Linked DNA regions of Cricetulus griseus. The protein of the gene in region 1 interacts with the protein of each later gene in a biochemical or structural test. Links are inferred from orthologs where the notes say so. Each region holds a gene or a part of one and is shown on either strand. Other genes may lie near its edges. The genes, in order: Tert and Tpp1.

Region 1 (4,417 bases):
TTCTAAGCCACACTGTTACTAGCCAGCACACACATCCCTCCCCTGTGTGTGTGTGTGTGTGTGTGTGTGTGTGTGTGTGTGTGTGTGTGTTCACTGGTTCCATCATAGCTCATGGACAGCTTCTACACATGTTTTCTGCTTTGGTTTCTTCTAGTCTTTTTTATTTATTGACTCTGGCCTTGAACCCAGGGTCTCATGTATAGTCAGCACATGCCACCCACTCCCTTTCTCCTCTTTGTCTTTTGAGGCAGAGTCTTAACTTGGCACAAGCTGACCTTAAACTCACTGCGTAGCTGGCCTGGTTTTGAATGGCCCCTCATCATCCTGCCTCCATCTCCCAAGAGCTAGGATTACAATGATGCACCACCATGCCCAGCTATATTCTAATTTTTAAAACTGTTTTTTCAATGCTGGTTTCTTTGGGAAACCACACTAAGGACACTTGGTTGTTGGCACAAATTCCTCAGTTCAGTCCCAAATCTCCAAAGTAGCAGTACTCAGCAAACCTCAAAAACACCCCTAAAAGAGGCTGACACCCACTAAATGGACTTCTAAAATAGCAACTGTAATCCCAAGCATTTAGAAGGCGGCTGACCTCCTACAAGGGAGTAAACATGAAAAAGCGCCTGTCGGGAGGGCTCCAGGTCTGTTCAAATGCTAGGTCGGTGGATAGAAGCAATTTCCTCAGAAAGCTGAAGGCACCAAAGGTTACATTTGTTAGCATTTCAGTGTTTGCCAAATTCAGCACAGATTCTGTATTTCCCAGCGCTTCAAACTTCACAAGGCCCTAGCTGTGGCTCTAGGTAGTGTCACTATTGATGTCCCCGACCCCTAGCGCCAGTGCCCTGTGCCCCCCCCCCCACCCCACACTGTCCCACTCTCAAGTACTGTTAAAGCTACCAGCCTCGAGTTAGAGGGGCTGCTATCCTGAGGTCGAGGTCTCTGCTTTGGCTGTGTGCACACTCAGTGCCCTTGGTCAGTGACTCTGGTCTAGCCACCGTGCCTGAGTGGGAGATGACCAATAGCTCTGGACCCTGGGGTGAAGGCTGCTGTGACAGTAAGAAAAGCGGACGCACAGCTTCACCTGGTCCCCGTCCTTTGGTGGCAGATGTTAAGGAAACCTTTTGGGGAGCTGAGCTTATGGTGGGGCCACAATAAAGCTTTAAGAACCTGTACAGTAGAGTTCCAGCCCTAATTATGAAGCCTTACTGGAAAGAACTGGGACTGCCACCACCCACTGTCTGCACCGAACTCACAGGAGGCAGCAGCCGGCTCTGGAGCAGGATGGACCTTAGATCCCTCTGCCTACAGAACCTTCAATAAATCAATAACAGGTGTCTTTGCTTGCGACCCTGCCCCAGTCTACACCACCTGGGGTCCCCAGCTCCGAGCGCAAGGGAGCCAACAAACTCTCTGTGGAGGGAAACCCTTTGTGACCACACCTCCCTCTGTTATTTTTACATTTCCCGCAACCACTGAACCTTGGGACCACCGACAGAAAGGCGCCATTGGTGCAACCCCGCCTCTTCCGCTACAACGCTTGGTCCGCTTCGATCCCGCCCCTTCCTCCGTCCCGACCCCGCCTTTTCCCGCCGCCGGCTCGCAATGTCCGGGGTCTTGATGCTTTTCTAACCCCAGCCCTACATCGAAGTTCCCGCACGTGGGAGGCCCGGCCGGACCTTGAGCGCGATGCCTCGCTCGCCCCGTTGCCGGGCCGTGCGCGCTCTGCTGCGCAGTCGATACCGCGAGGTGTGGCCGCTGGCAACCTTGGTGCGGCGCCTGGGACCTGAGGGCAGGCGACTTGTACAACCCGGAGACCCAAAAGTCTTCCGCACGTTGGTGGCCCAGTGCCTAGTGTGTGTGCCCTGGGGCTCGCAACCTCCACCTGCTGACCTTTCGTTCCACCAGGTGGGCCTCCGGGTTGGATCCCTGTGGGTCGGGGGCGGAGAGCCGGGAGGACGCGGGACAGCGCGTCTAGCTCAAAACCCTCTTCTCCTTACCAGGTGTCATCACTGAAGGAGCTGGTGGCCAGGGTCGTGCAGAGACTCTGCGAGCGCGGAGAGAGGAACGTGCTGGCTTTTGGCTTTGCGCTTCTTAACGGAGCCCAAGGCGGGCCACCCATGACCTTCACAACCAACGTGCGCAGCTATTTGCCCAACTCGGTGACTGAGTCTCTGCGCGTCAGTGGTGCATGGATGCTTCTGCTGAACCGAGTGGGCGACGACTTGCTGGTCTACCTGCTGGCCCGCTGCGCGCTTTACCTGCTAGTGCCCCCGAGCTGTGCCTACCAGGTGTGCGGCCCACCCCTGTACCAAATCTGTGCCACCGCGGATACTTGTCCCTCTGTGCCCCCCAGTTACAGGCCCACACGATCCGTGGGCAGAAATTTTACTCATCTTGGATCCACACACTCGGTCAGGAACAGCAATCACCAGGAAGCATGTAAACTCTTGCCCTTGCCATCTCGAGGCACAAAGCGGAGTCTAAGCATCACCAATAGAAGTGTGCCTTCATCCAAGAAGGCCAGGTGCGATCTGGCCCAGAGACTGGAGAAGGAACCCGACAGGCAGGCGGTTCCAACCCCATCAGACAAAACAAGGGTGCCAAATCCTGCTGAGTCCCCTGCAGTACCTATTAGTAGAACTACCAAGGAAGATTTGTCTTCCGGAGGGAAGGCACTTGGCCTGAGTCGCCCCGGGTCAGCGTGCTGTAAACACAAGCTCAGTTCCACATTCCTGCAGTCACCACTGTGCCAAGATGCCTTTCGGCTCAGACCATATACTGAGACCAAACACTTCCTGTACTCTAGGGGAGGTGGCCGAGAGAGGCTGAACCCCTCGTTCCTACTCAACAACCTCCAGCCCAGCTTGACTGGGGCCAGGAGACTGGTGGAGATAATCTTTCTAGGCATTAGGCCTAGGACATCAGGACCACTCTGTGGGACACGCCGCCTATCGAGGCGCTACTGGCAGATGCGGCCCCTATTCCAGCAGCTGCTTGTAAACCATGCGCGGTGCCCGTATGTCAGACTCCTCAGGTCACATTGCAGGTTTCCTACAGCAACCCACCAGGTGGCCGATGCCTTGAACACCACCAGCCAGCCGCACCTCATGAATTTGCTCCGCCTACACAGCAGTCCCTGGCAGGTATATGGCTTTCTACGGGCCTGTATCCGAAAGCTGGTGCCTCCAGGTCTCTGGGGTTCCAGGCACAACCAGCGGCGCTTCTTTAAGAATGTGAAGCAATTCATCTCCTTGGGGAAGTATGGCAAGCTCTCTCTGCAAGAGCTGATGTGGAGGATGAAAGTAGAAGACTGCCCCTGGCTTCGCAGCAGCCCAGGTGAGCAGGGCTGGTCTCCAGCTGAATGCAGTAAGGGTCCAAAAAAGGGAGACAATGAGTGGCAGGAGCCCAAGGCCTTAGTGCAGTGTCTTTATGCAGTCAGTGGTTGGGCAAGTCCCATCTGATGATCTCTGACTCCAAGCTCCCTCCCGCCCAGTTTGTGCTAACCAAGATTCTTGTCCAAGCCCTGGGGCAGGTTCTCAGGGCCAGGGACACTGGTGAACAGCAGGTGGAGTGCATAGTGTGGGTAGAAATACTGGCACTCGGTGAGAAGAAGCTCCAGTGAGAGCTGCTACAGGCTATTCTTGATCCCCTTGTGGAACAGTGCCTCGATGCTAAGGCCCCTGTGGTTTAAGGGTTCTGTTTCTCCCAGTGCAAAGACCTATGCGTGAGCTGTAGTGGTGCAGCTGCTCAGTCCACGAAAGGTTTAGGTGGAGAGAGGAGAAATAACGAAAGACTTTCCTACAGTGAAGATCCCTGTCCCATCTTAGTTTTGCAAATGGACCCCAGAAAGGAGAACCGAGCCTGCTGCAGGAAGGGGGACAGTGTTACTTGGGCGGTTGTAGAGCCAGGACTCCTGTGCCCTCCCTGTCCTGGTTTAATGTTAAGGTTGGTCCTCTTCCTTTCAGCAAGCCCTCCTGTCACCAATCTGTGCGTCTATGAAAGGAACCACACTCCCTATGCTGCTGCTCTGTCCTCTCCCAAACTCCTAGGATATTTACAACTTAAGGGGAAAAGATGGCAGAGCCATGTTTACCCACCGTGGGTGATCTCTGGGAGCTCCAGAGTGAGCCTATATCAATACACACACCTGGTTCTCCCAGCTGCAGCAGAGAGCCTCTGTGGCCCTTGTAAGTCATCCCACCTGCCCATGCATTGTCATCTCATCCCTTTGCAGCCCCAGAGCTCCCTTAGCCACAGCTGTCAGTATCTTGCCCAGGGTTACAGAGATGTCACTAGAGAAATACTGGAGCCCCTCGTACATCCCGTCTCCTAAGACAGATGGCTGCTCTCCTTCTGGACATAAGCTACTGTGACTCTGCCCAGCTCCCAACTTTATGATTGCTCTTCCAGATTT
Region 2 (3,030 bases), on another chromosome or scaffold:
CATGACCCCTGATTTAACTGTTTCCACAGTTCCTGGAACAGTATTTCCATGACTCAGATTTGACTGAGTTCATGCGCCTGTTTGGTGGCGATTTTGCACACCAGGCATCAGTAGCCAGAGTGGTTGGAAAACAGGGACGAGGCCGAGCTGGGATCGAGGCCAGTCTAGACGTGGAATACCTGATGAGTGCTGGTGCCAACATCTCCACTTGGGTCTACAGTAGCCCTGGTATTACTAACAGAATTAGTTGGGGTGGGGGGAATGGGTTGGTGTAGGCTGTTGATCTCTGCTTCATTTTATCAAGGGGATTCAAGGAGAGTCTAGCAACTCTTTGATGACCATTGGTATCCCTTCTTTTAAAACAATCCAGGCCGGCATGAGGCACAGGAGCCCTTCTTGCAGTGGCTCCTGCTTCTCAGCAATGAGTCAACCTTGCCACATGTACATACTGTGAGTTATGGAGACGATGAAGACTCCCTCAGCAGCATCTACATCCAGAGAGTCAACACCGAGTTCATGAAGGCTGCTGCTCGGGGTCTCACCCTACTTTTTGCCTCAGGTAACCTTCTACCCTAAACTTGGACTTCCCACCTACCCAATCTGGACATGTTGCCCTAGCTGACACTTCAGCCTGGTTTCTGACTCATAGTAGGAATTCAGAGCCTTAACAGGGCCTGACATGACCTGTAAACCCTGACCTGCAATAAGAGGTGACACCTATATTTCTTCTCTGGCATATGAGTCTACACCCCAAGCTCTCACCAACTAATCTGAATATTCAATATGTCTCTCCCAGGTGACACTGGAGCTGGGTGTTGGTCTGTCTCTGGAAGACACAAGTTCCGTCCTAGCTTCCCTGCTTCTAGGTAAGCACCCCTCAAATCTTTCACTTGTGACTTTGACCCCACCAGGTGCCGCTATGGCTCAGCCTTCAGCTTTACCTGTCTCTCAGTAAACCCTGTATGCAGGTTTTTACAGTCTTATTCCCTTTTCCAGTAAGACCCAGACCATACCCACCCATCTCCAGACATCTTGGGGGTCACCCACTATCTGAATACTGTCTTTTCCTTAGCCCCTACGTCACTACAGTAGGCGGCACTTCCTTCAGGAATCCATTCCTCATCACAAATGAAGTAGTTGACTATATCAGTGGTGGAGGCTTCAGCAATGTTTTCCCGCAGCCTTCATACCAGGTTTGTGCACGTTCATTGGATATATGGAGGGTGGGGTGAGGATCCTCAGTCCAGCAGTCAGCTGAACTGGCTACTGACCAATACTCACACTCAGAAATGTCCTGCAGGAGGAAGCAGTGGCCCAGTTCTTGAAGTCCAGCTCTCATCTACCACCATCTAGTTACTTCAATGCTAGTGGCCGTGCCTACCCAGACGTTGCTGCACTTTCTGATGGCTACTGGGTAGTCAGCAACAAGGTCCCCATTCCATGGGTATCTGGAACCTCGGTGAGAATCATCTTGGTTCTGAAACTTCTACGCAGGAACTACCCTCAATCCCTTACCTATAAAATCTTGCACCCAGAACCCCTGACTCCTTAGACTTCTGACCTTTGCAAGCATCATTCCTCAAAAGTCTAAAAACTCTGAAACCCTGACCTATTCTTGCATCTCCATCTTGCAGGCCTCTACTCCAGTGTTTGGGGGAATTTTATCCTTGATAAATGAACACAGAATACTCAATGGCCGCCCCCCTCTTGGCTTTCTCAATCCAAGACTTTATCAGCAGCATGGAGCAGGACTGTTTGATGTAAGTGTTGGAGGAAAGAGGGTGGATGTTGTCAGAGGATATGGGTAGGAATAATGTGAACTTGGGGCATTTTTGCTTTATGGTATTGCCTCTGTGATATGAATATAAATAAGGTGCAGTCTAAGAGTATGGGTACCAGCATGCCCAGATCTGATGTTCACTACCTCTTCCCAGGTAACCCATGGCTGCCATGAGTCCTGTCTGAATGAAGAAGTGGAGGGTCAGGGTTTCTGCTCTGGTCCTGGCTGGGATCCTGTGACAGGTTGGGGAACTCCCAACTTCCCTGCCCTACTGAAGACTCTACTCAACCCTTGACCCTTTCTTGCTGGGAAAGTAGAATTGTCCCCTCTGCTACAGGAGAAGGCTTAGTCCCTTATTCTGCCTCAATGGAAGCCCTGTGAAACTCTTAACTCTTGCCTCCTGCAGCCATCTTTTCCCTAACCCTCAAACGCTGTGAGCAGCACTTGACTCCCAACCCTACTGTGCTGCATCAAACTCAGGTCTCCTAACTCAACAAGATGCTATAACCAGGTTATTTTGTCTCACCCTTCCCCATCTTCCTCTTTCCAACTTGAGATGTGAAAGGAAGATGAGGAGGTTGTCTCCCATTATTGATACTAGCAGGCCCTGGGGGTGGGGGTGGGGGATGGGGGGGTGGTTACCACCTCTGCACTGACTGTATGCTCTGTTTCTCTTCAAGTTTCCTTCTCAATTCACTGGAATGAGACCTTTGCTACTAATTGTTTAGTCTTTCTTCCCCTGGCACTGAGGTGTAATTGTCTCCCTGACATTTTATCCAGTATACACTTCTCAATCCTTGTTTTATGCTTTTTTTTTTTTTTTAAAGAACAGGTTGCCAACAATCTCATATTCTAAAGACAGTTAAAAGTTTGTAAACTCCAAGTGTTTTAAACATGTTCTCATTGGCAAAATTTCTCAACAAAATAAACAGGTCGTTACAAATGGATGTCACCTTTAAATTTTGCTTCAACAAATTTTTTTAAATTTACATTTTATTTCCCCCTTCTTGGCTACAGTAAAGCAACATTGGGATATTTGCAAACATCTAGCTTCTGTGAACTTGGGCTTTCGCTCTTTCCATCAGTTCCCTGTTCATCCTTTTTCCTTAGCCTCCAGTGCATACCCACTCTAACCATACCAGCTAGCCTCCTTTTCTTCTAACTCCTGGAATTCAGTGTTCTTCATTGCTCCAGCCTTAATTTTTTGGCTCTTATTTCATTCATCATCCCTAAAACACATCACTGACATC

Evidence for each region.
Region 2: the proteins of Tert (region 1) and Tpp1 form a complex in vitro, tested with the Homo sapiens proteins (2 studies listed by BioGRID and IntAct). The link is inferred for Cricetulus griseus from reciprocal best matches to the Homo sapiens genes TERT and TPP1.

The regions. Positions count from the first base shown.
Region 1 is NC_048595.1:368,299,774-368,304,190, forward strand, and holds the start of Tert (telomerase reverse transcriptase), read left to right. Parts: upstream 1-1,304; 5' UTR 1,305-1,689; coding exon 1,690-1,908; intron 1,909-2,003; coding exon 2,004-3,339; intron 3,340-4,417. UniProt on the Homo sapiens protein: Telomerase is a ribonucleoprotein enzyme essential for the replication of chromosome termini in most eukaryotes. Active in progenitor and cancer cells. Inactive, or very low activity, in normal somatic cells.
Region 2 is NC_048596.1:93,954,888-93,957,917, forward strand, and holds the end of Tpp1 (tripeptidyl-peptidase 1), read left to right. Parts: intron 1-29; coding exon 30-228; intron 229-370; coding exon 371-559; intron 560-796; coding exon 797-866; intron 867-1,072; coding exon 1,073-1,193; intron 1,194-1,300; coding exon 1,301-1,459; intron 1,460-1,634; coding exon 1,635-1,760; intron 1,761-1,934; coding exon 1,935-2,075; 3' UTR 2,076-2,295; downstream 2,296-3,030. UniProt on the Homo sapiens protein: Lysosomal serine protease with tripeptidyl-peptidase I activity. May act as a non-specific lysosomal peptidase which generates tripeptides from the breakdown products produced by lysosomal proteinases. Requires substrates with an unsubstituted N-terminus.